Notamacropus eugenii: one gene and its partner. The protein of the gene in region 1 binds, or shares a complex with, the protein of each later gene. Links are inferred from orthologs where the notes say so. Each region holds a gene or a part of one and is shown on either strand. Other genes may lie near its edges.

Region 1 (7,759 bases):
ATTCTATCCTTCCTCCTATCCCCTCCTTCATCCACTGAGAAGGCAAGAAAAACAAAACCCATAACAAAAACATATGGACATGCAAAACAATTTCCACATTCGCTTTGTTCCAAGAAAAAGAAAGGAAGAGAAGAAAATATTCTTCCAACTACACTCTGAGTCCATCAGCTCTCTGGAGGTGGATAGTATGTTCCATTATGAGTCCTTCAGAGTTATGGTGGGATGTTGTGTTGATTAGTAATTAAATCTTTCAGTTGATTAGTTTTATAATATTACTATTACTGTTCAGATTGCTTTCCTGCTTCTGATCACTTTACTTTGCATCAATTCATAGAAGTCTTTCCACGTTTTTCTGAAACCATCTCCTTCATCATTTCTTACAACACAGTAATATTCCATCACTTTCACATACCCTAACTTGTTCAGTCATTCCCCAATTGATAAGCATCCCCTCAGTTTTCCTGTGCTTTCTAGTGTTTTAAAAAGGAATAGGTGTTGTATTTTTGTCAAAAGCCTTTCCTGTTTTTTTTTTTGTTAATATGATCAATTATACTTATAGTTTTCCTAATAATAAAACAGTCTTGCATTACTGGCAAGTGAAACTTGAAAGTCAGACTATAAGGGGTTGGGGAGAAAATGGGTAGGAAGTGGTGGAAGCAAATGCAACCTTATCTTTCAGTACTTTCAGAACTGAAAGGGAAGGGAGATGTGGATATCTGGATGGTGATTCTGAGGTACTGCAAGATTAGGGAAGATGGGACAGAATACATTTGTAGATGACAGAAAAAGCTAGGCAATATGGAGAAGCTGAAGATGTGAGACACAATAACTGCTGAAATAACAAAGATCAAGGACACAAATTTGGGTATTAACCTTTACAAAGAGAAGGATCACTTCTTACTCTTGAGACCTGAAAAAAAGAGGTGAGGATGAATGAAGACATAATGTTCTGAGGGATGGAGGAAAGAATGAGGGTGCTCATTTGGATGATCTCAATTGTTTTTTCCCCCAATCTTCTTAGTAAAGCATGGGAGGTTATTTTTTGAAAGATATTAGGGGAGAAGTTGGAAGCTTGAGAAAGTATTAATAGCTACTGAAAGAAAAGGATTGCTGTGCAATGTTTGAAAGCTCAGCAGAGGCTAAAGAATATGTATTTATTGTAGATTTAGTCTATACACTTTCAATATTTTCTGTAGCAACATCCATTAGCTCTGGAGTAAGCAAAGAGGAAACTTTTATGATTGGAGTGACCAGGGTTGAGATGAGAACAACGGGTTTAAGAAAGGTGGAAATCAGTGAACTGGTTAACACAGGGCTAACACTGCGCAGGAGAGAAATGAAGCCTGAATATGGGTGATAACAGAGAGAACTTGGAGGGACGGAAGGACCAGAGGTCACAATGAGGAGTTTAGGAGGAATGAGACAGTGGTAGAGGTAGAAGGACAGCATGCTGAACAGAGAAGGGAGAAAAATTCTAATCAAAGCTAAATGTGTTGTACACAGACAATTTCATTCTTGAGTTAAGAACAATTCTCCTTTGAATCTTTTGCTACTAAATTTTACCTGTTCATAGAGGTCAATCAGTGTTTTGTCTGGCAATTTCAGGGACTGTATAGCTTGCAAAACGGTATCCCAATGACCACTATTAATATCGGCCACAAAACTCTCTATGCTGTCCACAGTATTCAGGGACACTGTTGTCTCCTCCTGCAAAGTGGCTAAGGCTCGATGTAAACTATTTTCCTTCAAGTACTGCATGATGAGACGTATAACGCTAAAAAAAGAAGAAATATATACCATGAGTTTAACCGTAGGGTAACAGATTTAGAGCTGTAAAGGGCCATGGAAATGATAAAACCCAATCCCTTAATTTTACATAAGATAAAACTGAGGTTCTGAGAGGTTAAACCCCTTGCTCAGGGTAACACAGCTAGTAAGAAACTGAAATGGGAGTGGGACTCTGGTTTTCCAGATTCAAAGTCCACTACTTTTTACTCTTATATCCTGTTGCCTCTCATAAAAAACAGAACGAACACATAAGCCTCAGCTTAACAGATTCATGCTCTAGGGGAATTCGCTGTAGTTCCAGGACCCTGAGCTGGGGACACTTGTAGAGGTAGCATTTTCTCTCGAGGAAAGATCTGCGGAGAGCAACTCTTCCTCCTCATTTTGCACAGGAGGAAGAGAACACTCAGGAGCCTAACTCCTAATTATGATACCAGCTCCAGAGCCGGAATGCCTTTGCTTTGACTTATTTTTGGTTAAGAACACAAATCATCAATTCAATTTCGATGAGCGTCGTGGTATTTTACAATTACAGTTCTCTATCACTGTAAAAGTACAAGTTTAGGCTTGCTCCCTCTACTTTAGGGTACAAAGGTGCTTAATTAATATTAGTTAGCGCCTCACTATATCGAGAAATAGAAAGGAGGGAACTGGACCCTTAAACGCGGAAACCCTGGGGGCAGATCGAACGCACCCGGATTGTCTGGCTACCCACCGGCTGGACCCACGAAGCCTCGGTGCAGTGGCTCGGTGGCTATCCCTGCAGGGGGCTGGGGAGGGTCCCGGAATGAACTCGGGCTTTTTTTAGTCCCAACTCTAAGACGACCCGTGTGCGCTCTCAAGCGCCACGTCCGCCGCCTTCTGGCCTCAGTTTCCTCATATATGAGATAAACACACTGGCCTAGAGGGCATTCTGAGGGCCCTCCTCTCGGCGGGATGGAGGGGGCCTCCGCGGAGCGCAGGCCGCAGGATTCGTCCCCGGCCTCCCGCCATCTTCTCCCTTCTCGCGGGCCCGGCCTTTCCCCAGTCCCCGGCACTTACTCGGACGATTCAATTTCAATCGACATCTTGCCGGTGCCGCAAAACGGCCGCTAAGCCGAGAGATCGCAGGGGAAAAAAACCCCACCGGACACACCAAGAGGGAAAACTGGGCCCACTTCCGGTCTTCGCTTACGTCACTTCCGCCAGGCGTCCCTCCTTCGCCCCAGCTCCAGGGCGAATGGGGGAAGCCGGTGGAAGGGGGCGGGGAGGCCGCCTGTCACGTGGCCAAAATGCTGCCTTACGAGTGGGTGGAGCTGAGGCGGGAGGGCCCTGTAGCCTAGGTAGCTCCACAGCCCCAGGACCCTGAGCTGGGCCGTGTGCAGATGTAGCCTATTTCCTCTAGGAGAGGGCTTCCCAGAGCGAAGTCTTCTTCCCTTTTCACAGCAGGGGGCCGAGTCTCAGAACCCTGACTCCCAAGAGCTGGATCTTACAGAGGGGCTGTCAGGGTCGGGCAGGATTTGAACTCAGGTCTTAGGCTCCATCCATGGTGTAGTGGATGGGATCCCCTAGCTTAGCAGCTCTTGAGCTACCTGGGTTCCTTAATCAGTAAAAATGGAAATGACAATTAGCACCTACCTCTCCAGGGAGTAGAGAGGATGGAAACGAGATAAGTGCTTTTAACGTTCTATAAGAAGTGTTAGCATCAAAGATTCCAGCTGGCCAAGACCTCGCAGGTCATCAAGTCCAGCCCTCTCATTTGACTGATGCCCAGAGAAGGTAAATGACTTGCCCCCAGTCACACAGCTAGTAAGGTCTGATTCCAAAGTCATGTGCTCTCTACCCCCCTGCGGTGCACAGAGGGTGAGGACACTTAGTTCAGGGTCACCCAGCAGGTAAAATGGGACTTGAGTCCAGGCTTTCAAACTTTCAGTCCACTGCTTTTTCTTTAGCATTTTTCCTTTTCTTTTTAATGGATAGTTCAAACAAACAAACATAATTTAGGCTTATTTTTGAAAACAGGGAAAGTCCTGAAAACAGAAGTATCTTAAATTACCTTCTAAAATGAACTGCAATATGTATAAGGTATATCAAATTGCTTACCTTCTTGGGACAGAAGGAGAGAGGGAGAGAATTTGGAACTCAAAATTTAAAAAAAAATGAGTGTTAAAAATGTTTATTCACATAATTGGGGGAAAATTAAGAATTAAAAAAAATAATTCCCAATGACTCAGGCCATAAAAATCAAAATTTAAACCATTCATTTTAGATTATTTCTTTACCCTAATTTTTTTCATCTTTTGTTTTTTACATCACCTCCATTTTCAAATGTCCCCTCCTTATCCAGTAAGCCATTACTTGTAACAAAGGTTAAACTAAGAAATGAAAAAACACAAAGAGCAAAAATAAGTAAAACATCTACCAAATCTTGCAGTATGTGCATTGTTTCATGTCTATAATCTCCCATCTTCACAGGGAAAGAGGTGCATTTTAAAATCTCTTTTCCAGTGCCAAATTTGGTCATTATCAGTACACAGAATTCATTTTCCTTTTTCTTTTTCTTTCTTTTCATTTCCATTTCTGTCATTTTTTTTTTCCTCTGTTTGCCTTAATCCACTGGAGAAGAAAATGGCAAACCACTCCAGTATCTTTGTCAAGAAAACTCTTATGGACAGCCATAGGGGGGATCACCAAGCATCCAACACAACTGAATAGCAGATGCTGATTGTAGCAAATTAGATTACAGCTCACAAATCTAAAGTTTTCCTACAAAGGAGAGAAGTATTCACTGTACAAGATAAATTGACTATAGGAAAAGTAATTTATTCCTACTTATAAAAAGTAATGCTAAGAAGAAAAGAATCATAGCATAAGTAACAAAATGATTCTTATAATTACTGATAAACTGCTTGAACTGAGTCAGATAAGCATTTATGAAGTACTTGCTATGTATGAAGTACTCTACTAGGTGGTGGGGATGAAAAGAAAGGTGAAAGCATGATTTCTGCCCTTGAGGAACTCATATGACAACATGCAAACCACCACATATATGCAATATACATATACACCTACATATATAACACTATATATACATACAGATGTGTATCTATCTATCTATCTATCTATCTATCTATCTATCTATCTATCTGTCTGTCTGTCTGTCTGTCTGTCTGTCTGTCTATCTATCTATCTATCTATCTATCTATCTATCTATCTATCTATCTATCTATCTAGTATATGGGAGGCAACCTTGCAGGGAAGGAACCAGCACTAGAGGGAACTGGGAAAGGCTTCTTATTGAAGGGAGGATTTGAGCTGAAATGTGAAGGAAGTCAGAAGACAGAAAATGGAGGTGAGAGGGGAATACATTTCAGGGATGGGGAAGAGTAAGTGAAAATCCCCAGAACTGTAAGATGGAATGTCATGTGTAAGGAATAGTAAAGAGGTCAGTGTTGCTGGACTGTAGAGTATGTGATGAGGAGCAGAGTGTGAGAAGAGTAGAAAGGAAGGAAGGGGTCAGGTTGTGAAGGAGTTTAACATCCAACCAGGATTTTTATTTTATCTTGAAGGTTTTTACAATATGGAGCCACTAGATTGTTTAGGAGAGTGTCGTGGTTGGACCTTAACTTTAGAAAGATCAGTTTGGAATGGGGAGCCAACTGAGGTAGGTAGACCAATCAACTAGCTATTGTAATAGTCCAGGCATGAGGTTGTGTGAATGAGGGGAAGGGTTATATAAGAGTAGGGTGACTATAAGTGAGGAGTCAAGAGTTACACCCATGTTGTAAGCCTGAGTGTTTGGAAGTATGGTGGAACCCTCAACAGTAATAGAGAAGTTTGGACAGTTTGAGGGGAAAGATAATTAGCTCAGTTCTAGGCATACTGGGATAGTGGTGATACAGTGGGTAGAGTACTGGACCTGGAGTCAGGAAGACTGATGTTCCTCAGTTCCAATCTATGCCTCAGACAGTTACTAGCTGTATGACTCTGGGCAAGTCACTTAACCTTGTTTGCCTCAGTTTCCTCATCTGTAAAATGAGTTGAAGATAGAAATGGCAAACTACTCCACTATTTTTGCCAAGAAAAACCCAATAGGAACACGAAGTGTTGGACATGCCTGAAAATTGACTGAAGAAGACATATTTATCCAGTTTGAGATGTCCAAAAGAGATTTGGAGTTGTGAGACTGAAAGTCAGGAGAAAGTTTAGGACTGAATAAATCGAATTTGCATAGAGATGATAATTGAATCTATGGGAACTATGATACCACTAAGTGAGATAATATAGAAGGCAAAGAGAGACAAGGAGAGGCTCTTGCAGGACTCCCAAAGTGAGTGGACATGACTTGGATGAAGATCCAACAAAGGAGATTAAAGAGTGGTCAGATTGGTAGGAGAAGATATAGGAAGGAGCAATGTTATAAAAACTGAGAGAAATAGGAGTATCAAAGAGAAGTTATCAACAATGTCAAGAGCTATGGAGAAGTCAAGAAGGATGACAACTGAATAAAAACGATTAGACTTGGTGATTAAGAGATCACTGGTAACTTTTGGAAAGAGTGCTTAGAATTGAATCATGAGGTCAGAAGTCAGGCTTCAAAGACTTTAGAAGTCGTAAGAGGTGAGAATGAGTTTCCTCATCTGTAAAATGAGCTAGAGAAGGAAATGGCAAATCAGTCCAGTATCTTTGCCAAGAAAATCCCAAATGGGGTCATGAAGAGTCAGACATGACTGAAAAATGACTGAAAAGAGTAGGAGAAGTGGAGGCATTGGTTGTGGATAGTTTTATCAAAGAGTTTAGGCATTAAAAGGAAAAATTATATAGGGTGGTGGCATTGAGAATTTTTTTTTTAGGGATCAAGGAAAAATGGATGTTTGTAGGGAACAAGAAAGCAGTCACTAGTAGACAAAAAGAGATTAAAGATTGGTGGGAAATACAGACTATAGAGGAAACAATCTGTTGAAGAAGATGGGATGGAATGGGATCCTGTTTGCCTCAGAAAGGGCTGACTTTGTGTAAGGCACAAGTGTGGAAGAAGACACCCATAAGATATGACATGAGAAAGAGGAGGGGGAGGAGGAGCTCTTGGTGAATTATCTCACTTTTTCCAGTGAAATATGAGACAATATTCTCAGCTGAGAGAGAAGGGGAAATAGTGCCATAGGAAGCTTGAGGAGTCACAAAATGGTTTGGAATAGCCTCCTGTTGTGAGTGGGATGGTGAGTCAATTTGTGAGGTATAAAAGGATTGCCTTGCTTCAGTGAGGGCTCAGTTGAGATTATATAATTTATATTTGTACTGGACTCAGTCAGATTGACTTTGTATTTTCTCCAGCTCTATTCAGCAGAATGTAAATAGGAGCCAAAGTAATGAATGATGGGAATATTCCAAGGTTGGGGCACTGGACAAGGCATGATTGGCAATAGGTTAAATGGGTAAGGGATTCAAGCATAGAGAATAATGTAAAACTGAACTAGTTCACCAAGGGGTCAAGATAAAGAAAGGAGAGTGGTGAGGAAGAAGAACAGGGTCAGCGTTAGGGGTTGTATGGCAGATTTGGAGGATCCTGAGGAGAAGATGAAGTAGAGAACATGAGGGACATGACTCATGAGTGGCTTGATTTACTGACTTTTTGAAATTCCCAAGGTCAGAGACACCATTCCCTTCACTGAACACCATGAGAATCACCAAGATCCCTTGAAAGTGGATGGAGTAAAGAGATATGAGCTAAAGCTGGGAGACTTTTTGGAATCCTTCTTCAGTCAGTCAAAGAGATTCCTCATTTGCACATAACGGGTTAAGTGACTAGAACCAGCTACAGGATGTCTATGTATGTTCCACAGTCTGTCTCTCCAAGGCACATCTTCTACATGTCATCACAATTGTCCTGGAAGCATCTTAGTTCCTCCTCTCCCCATCACTCCCACCCCAAAACAAAATTTTTCTATGCTTGTTTTGGCTATGTTTTTGAAATAAATGTTCTTTTGTAAAAGCT
Region 2 (7,013 bases), on another chromosome or scaffold:
TCCAAACCTTCACTTCCTCAAAAGTCAGATGGGAGAGAGCTGCCATCTACCAAAGGGTCTTAGCTTGGGGCCCTTGTTTTTCAAAAACATTTTAATAACTATATTTTAGGCACTTAAGAAGGTGATTCTGAGAGAGGGTCACTAGTTTCACCAGTCTGCCTGTCTGGGCAGGGTGACCACCACAGGATGTTTAGTACAACCACAGGCATATAGGTGTCTAAATAAGCCATGCAAATGACCCGAAGTCCAAGATCAGAAACAATTGAGACCAGTCCTCAAAGAAAACAAGAGCCACCAAACACTGTCAGGACATAAAAGGCTCACCTCAGCCAGAACAAAGGGATGCACTTACCCTGCTGCTGCTAGCTGCTCACTACTGTCAGGCTCTCACAAATCTCACGCGGCTGTTTTGTGGGCACCCCTCCCAATGCCATGGCCATTCTCTAAGACGTTCCAGGTCCCCTAGGGGATTCTGCCTACACTGTTCCATTTAAAATCATTTCCCTCCTCAGCCATTCTTCTTCTTGGGGACCAAGCTTCCCTTGGATTGACTCTCAGCATCCCCTGTTCTCCCTTCACGCCTCTACTCCTGTGTCCTCCTGGTAGTCCCCCCACAGGGGCTGCTCCTTACCCCTGACTTTCTCCTGGACCACCTCCACCTCCAGGAAGGGACCTTTGCCAAAGCCACTCATGTCCAAAGGCCCCTTTCCCATCCTGGTGCTGCCATTTACCGCCTGCAGGTTGATGGCTATTTAACAGCTCCCTTCATTAGCTTTCTGTCTCTTACCTGCCTTATTCTAGGTCCTCCCAGAGAATGTCCCCACAAGGTAAGAGGGACACAGCTGGCCTTATCCCCTCCTCTCCTCCCTCTTTTCTAGGACTATAACTGCTTGAGTTTACTCATCCAGCCCTCAACTTTTCTCCTCGGTCTAGACACATACAGCAATTTCTTCTCCCCATTACACAGATGAGGAAACAGGTCCCAGAGTTACTGTCAGAGGCCAGATCTGAAGTCAGGACTTCCTGACTCCATCTAGCCCACTTTGGACTACTGAGTCAGCTGATTAAAAGTAAATGACTTGTTTTCCCTTTTTACAGTCCTCCCTTTTCAATGATCAGCAGTCTTATAATCAATCAAACCATTTCAGTCAACTTATTGGACTACAGACTATTAGAGCTGGAAAAAGGGCAGTTTGGTGGCTCAATGGACAGCGCTGGGCTTAGAGTCGGGAAGACCCATCTGCATGAATTCAGATCCAACCTCAGATACTCACTAGTTGTGCAACCCTGGGCAAGTCACTTCACCCATTTGCCTCAGTTTCCTCATCCGTAAAATGAACTGGAGAATGAAATGGCAAACCACTATCTTTGTCAAGAAAATCCCAAATGCGGTCATGAGAGCATCAGACACGACTGACCAACAACAATGAGAGCTGGAGAAGACTTCATAAATTACTTAGCCTAAGCCTTTCATTTCAAATACAATCCTATGTACATCCTGTAATATACTAGATGTATATAGCTGGTAACCTCTCTATTTGCTCTTTGCTTTCCAACCCATCCCCTTTTCTTGACTCTAAGCCCCAGCTCCTGGTGGTCTTTTCTCTCCCTTTTCAAGGACCGAGAGACCAAGTCTCAGGAGTCATTATCCCCTAGTTTATAAGCCTTCCTCTTGCGGGGGAGTTGGTGGGCTTGGCCCCTCCCAGCTACAATATCCTGGTGTTAGGGACAGAGCCCTGCCCCTGCCCTGCATTTCCCAGGGGAACTCACCATCCCTGGAGAGCTTGATCAGCTTAGCGATATATGGGTTATCATCATCATTGCACTCCACAAGTATGAAGTCCCCTACATTGATCTGGACTTTGACATTGCTGCTTGGAGATGTCACACAAATACTTCTGCAAAGCAAATGCAGGGATCAAGTGGCCCAGAGTACAGGGAAATCAAGTCACCAAGACCCTCAGGCCAGATAAGGGAGCTCACTAGTCAAGCCTCACAGATCTACCTCCCACTCAACAAATCTCCAGAACAGAAAAGGATTCCCAGGGAAGTGTGCCCAGGGTGATGAGGAGAGGAGCAGAGGTGGACTGGGGGGCCCCAGATCACAGAGGCTGGCCTCTAAGACCCTCCTCTCCTGGCATACCAGGAATAGGGCCCAGCCTCTCTTGCTGTCTGGAGAGGTGAACAACAAACAGCAAGGATGGTGCACACTCACCCCCCAAAAATACGCTCCAAACAGATACAAATTTGTTTTTTAAAAAGAGAACTTTCCTCCTCCTGGCCTTCTTCATATCTCAGCTTAAGTCTCATCTTTAGAAAAAGGACCTGGGAAGAGCCTCATCTTAGCGTCCTTCCTGAGATGAACCCCCCTCGCCATGCAATCTGTCTATACACTATCTGCACACTGTTGGCAGGTTGTGTCCCCTATTAGACTGAGCCCCTAGAGGGCACGGACTGTCTTTGGTCTTTCCTTGTATCCCCAGTGCTCAGCACAGTGCCTGGCACACAGGAGGCGCTTCCTAAAAGCTGGGACTCTTCTCAGCCAGTGAAAAGCCTAGGCCCCACAGAGACCACACCCTAAATACTGTTAAATGGCTCCAGAATATCATGATGGCAGGAAAGCCCCACCTCAGGGGGCTGGGTGCCAATAAGCAGACCCATGGCCTGGGAACCTGCTGAGTTGAATCACTTACCTGTAGAGATTGTGACGAAGTTTCCTGTCACGGAATTCACAGTTGAGCCATGAATAACTTCGTTTGGCCTTGAGCCTTGTGAAATAGTTGTTCCTCATGGCTTTTGGTCCTGAGTGGGGAGTGCAGAAGTAAGCAGGATTCGGGTGGAGAGCATGTCCTGGACTAGCATGGGGAACTCTTGAGGGGGCATTTCTCCCCACCCTGGATGCCAGCAAGTTTGAGCCACTTGCCCAGGCTCCCGCACTGGGCCAGAAGCTGTCCTACCATACTGGAGCCTGGACTTTTTAGAGGTTTAGCCAGAAGGAAGCTGTCCCAGGGCCTGGCAGAGATCTCTTCCCCATCTAGTGCCCCAAGGCATCCATCCTTTCAGCAAAGCGAGGGCTGGGCTTCCTGCTGGCCACGATGGGCCTGCTCTTTTCCACAAGCCCCTAAGTTCCTTGGCTTTCTGCGCTCAGGGCTCCCTAACTGGGTTTCAAATGAAATGGGGGAGAAACAGTAGCTGCATCCCCAGCAGGGGGACGGGAGGGAGGAAGGTCTCGCAGACTTGGCAAGATCAGCCTGAAGCAGGCTGAAATGGCAGGAACCCTCCTTTAACCCCGACCCCCCCACCGGGCAGGATCTCCACGAGGCCAGGCACTCAGCGGATGCCCGCTAAATCCAACCAAGACCACAGGCCGGGAAGTGGAGGGTACTTCGCAGGGCGAAGGGCAGTGGCTCGGGAGAAGGCTCGGGGCGCCCCTAATTCCCTGGGGGAGGGGGCGGTGAGGAGGACCCAGGGCCACGTCCCCCTCAGACAGATGCGGAGGCTCAGGTGACCCCGAGGGCGGGCCCCAGACGGGCCTCCCGGGGCAGCTGCGGTCTGCGATAAGGACCAGCCCCTCCCCCACCCGGGCCCCTGAGGCCCCCAGGAAGGCGGTGGGGGTGGGGCAGATCGCTCCTCGCCATAGAGTGGGGGGCTCCGGGCTCCGGAGGGGGCAGGGCAGTACGGGAGGCCCCTTCCCGCCCCAGTTCGGCCAGCCCCCTCCCCCGCTTCCGAGCCCGGCCCGCCGCCCAAGCCTCAGTTTCCCCGCGTGTAAAGGAGGGGGCCTCGCCCCCAGCTCCCCCCCACCCCGGAGGCCCCGGCCCCCCAGGCTCACCCTCCGGCTTCCTCCGCCGCTCCGCGTGCGCGCTGCTCGCCTCCTGGCCACCGCCAGCACCCGAGAGAAGCTTGAAATAAAAAAAAATTCGCGCCAAAAAAGAGTGGCCCCGCCCCTCGCGTCACGCAAGGCCCGCCCCCTTTCTCCTCCCTCCTGCGTACGGATCGGGACTTTTGTCTCCGCCTCTCCCCCTCCCTCTTCCACCCCTCCCAGATTCAAAAGGTCGTTCGCCGTCCAGGCGCTCCGCCCCCTACGTCTCCCCCCTCCGCTCTTGTTTCTAGTTACGTCATTATTACGAAGCCGCGTTTGGGAAGGTAGAGGCGTCGCGGTCGCGGCGCGTGCCCGGTTTCAAAGTGGCCGCCTCGGTGACGTCATCGGCCGCGCCGAGACGCTTTCGCCCCCGCTTCCCCCCCCCCCCCCCCCGCTTCCCCCGGCTTGGCTCGTGCGGAAGTGACGCAGAAAGTGCCCGCCGGAAGGGCTGCAGAGGCGGCGCCAAGGGCTTCCCAAGATGGCGAATCGGACGGTGAAGGATGCTCACAGCATCCACGGCACCAACCCGCAGTACCTGGTGGAGAAGATCATCCGGACCCGAATCTACGAGTCCAAGTACTGGAAGGAGGAGTGTTTTGGACTCACAGGTGAGCGGCTGCGGCTGGGGCTCCGGACATCTCCCCGGCGCGTCTCGAGCCGCCCAGGGAGGATGTGAGCTCCCCGGCCGGGGAGGAGTTCAGACAGAACCCTTGGAGCTCGTAGCCTACCCTGACTTTTGGACTGTAACGGTCCCTTGCGTTTCTGAGTCCCTTTCTCTCGAGCCGAACTAGGGAAGGCGTCGGAAATGTTTGCCTGATTGAGAGAGGGGCTTCGGGAGGCCTTTTTACCTTCCTCACCAGCATACCTGCAGCACGGAGTAGATACTCACTAAGTGACCGTGTCTTCCTGCCCCCTCTTTCATATTTGGAAAGCCGCACGCAGGTAGGAAGCGTTCGAGGCAGGATTGAACCCGGGCTCTCCCACCCCAGATTCTCCTCTGCTCCCGGCCGGCTCCTGTTCACGTCCAGGGTGAGCTAGCTTGGACCATAGTGGAGAACGTCGGGGTCCCTGGTGCCTGGCCCCGGCCGGGCACGGCCAAGAACGGGGTGGGGGAGGACAGACTCGGAGCTGCCTGTCCGTGGGTGATGTGGCCGAGCGAACGTCTATTAAGCTTTTATTTGTTAAGCGCTGTGCTTAATGCTAGGCCTAGGAAGTCCGAGCCGCCCCCGTCCTCGAGGACTTAGAGTGGGGTGAGCAGTGGGTGTGCAGGGAAGTCAGCAAGGTTGTTGTGTTGGTGGGGTCCCCGGAGCAGAGGGCACTCAGCCCCTTCTGCCCAGAGCGTTGCCTCTTGATCCTCCTTTGGTCGCTGTCCTTGACCCTGGCCCGGGGAGCAGAGCTCTGGGTGAGGTCGCTACAAAGGTGCAACATTGAACGAAACTGACAAAGCCTTGTTGCGGCTTGGAAGGCTGCCCAAGACCCGGGAAGGGATTTGGCTGAAACAGGTGGGGCTGCGCCTGCGCAGTACATTTCAGGGGGTCCCTGCTTTTTCTAAGGCCAAAGACACATTCTGGCATTTAAATGCCGTGGGTCAGCCAGACTGGTCTTGCTGTTTTTGACCTCTCAGAATCCATCTTTTCTTTCAAAGCTCAGCTCAGCTGCCACCTCCTACACAAAGCCGTTTCTGGATCCTCCCTCCTCGGCTGCCAGCGTCTTCTCTCCAACAGTTACCTTGTATTTAGTTTTTGCTTCTATGGATACATGTTGCCTTCCTTGGTAAGAAATCCTTTCTTTGAGAGCTGCACGTTTCAGTTTTGTTTTACATGCCTGGCATATTGTGTTTAAAGAGAGATGAGGGACTACTTCATTTTTGCCTCTGCTTCCCTAGTACCTTGTGCCTGGCACATGGCTTGAAATCAGTCACTGCTTCTTGAATGAATGCCAAGGCAGCTCTTTCAGATTCAGAAGGCAGAGTAAGTGTGTGTTTGCATTGGTACTTCCCAGTTCTTCCCTGAACTGAAATCCTTCCCAAGTTTAACATCTTATATTCTAAGGTTCTTCCCCCAGCTGTAACATTATCTTATTTTGAATGACTTGCCCGGAAGTGTTTGTATGTTGAAGGGAGAAAACATTTCTTGGGGCCTGGTCAGGCCTTTAGGGCAGGGCCATATGCAGAGATGGTGATAATAACATTGTCCGCCGATGTGATCGGAAAGGTCACAAGGGCCCCTTCACAATATAGTAATCATAACTGCCACTTAATGGTATTTTAAAGTTTGCTAAATGTATTACATAGCATCTCCTGGGAGGCAGCTGCTGGAGGTAGGATTATCCCCATTTTATAGATGAGGAAATTGAGATGAGAGATTGTCACTTGTCTGTCATCTCTCAGTTAATAAATGAAGAACCCTGGTCTTCCTAACTCCAGGTCCCTTTGACTGCTGTGTCTCACGGCCTAAACCAACCCCACTGCCGCTGCCCAGATACCAGGAGTGTCATGTTTTTAGCAGCACTCTTCTGACTCCTGACCCCCATGCCAATGCCCCTGAGCAGAACAATTTTTCAAGCTGTTATCCCAAAATGTCAGAGTTGGAAGGGGACTCAGAAAGCATCTAGCTTGACCTTTTTGTTTTACAGTGGGAGAAACTGAGGCCAGGAGAGGTTTCCCCCAGTGAGTCAGGGTTCAAAGCATAGCAGCTTCAGGCTGCAGAGAACAGGTAGTAGTGTAGTGGGGCGGGGTGGTAGAGTGTGAAGTCCGGCTGAAAAAGGTAGATTGGGGCTAGAAGCAGAAGGCCTTTAGTACTAGTGGAATCTGTAGTTCAGGAGCATGCTGAGCCTGGAGTCAGGAGAGGACCTGGGCTGAAATCCTTCCTCATGCAGGTCCTAGCTGTGTGACTTTGGGCAAATCACTTCACCTCTTTCTGCCTTAGTTTCTTTAACTATAAAATGGTGATAATGAATAGGAGAGTTTATTTGTATAGCACTTAGCACAGTGCTCTGTAAATACTAGCTGTTATAATTATCATTGTTATCATTATCATTTCTCCAAGCACTTGGTAGCCACTGAAGGGCTTTAGATAGTAGCCAGAAAGGGCACTAAAGCCTGACCTTGGGGTATGTAGAAAGGACACAGATGGTAAGAGGTTGGAGGGATAGA

The links. Proteins that work in one complex are often made in the same cells at the same time.
Region 2: SMU1 (region 1) and PRPF38A share a complex: the UniProt entries of both Homo sapiens proteins name them as parts of the spliceosome B complex. The link is inferred for Notamacropus eugenii from reciprocal best matches to the Homo sapiens genes SMU1 and PRPF38A.

The regions. Positions count from the first base shown.
Region 1 is NC_092874.1:312,785,851-312,793,609, reverse strand, and holds the start of SMU1 (WD40 repeat-containing protein SMU1), read right to left. Parts: upstream 3,007-7,759; 5' UTR 2,853-3,006; coding exon 2,827-2,852; intron 1,775-2,826; coding exon 1,564-1,774; intron 1-1,563. UniProt on the Homo sapiens protein: Involved in pre-mRNA splicing as a component of the spliceosome. Regulates alternative splicing of the HSPG2 pre-mRNA. Required for normal accumulation of IK.
Region 2 is NC_092873.1:512,531,326-512,538,338, forward strand, and holds the start of PRPF38A (pre-mRNA-splicing factor 38A), read left to right. Parts: upstream 1-4,004; 5' UTR 4,005-4,337; coding exon 4,338-4,467; exon of another isoform or gene 4,468-4,801; intron 4,802-5,504; exon of another isoform or gene 5,505-5,632; intron 5,633-7,013. UniProt on the Homo sapiens protein: Involved in pre-mRNA splicing as a component of the spliceosome.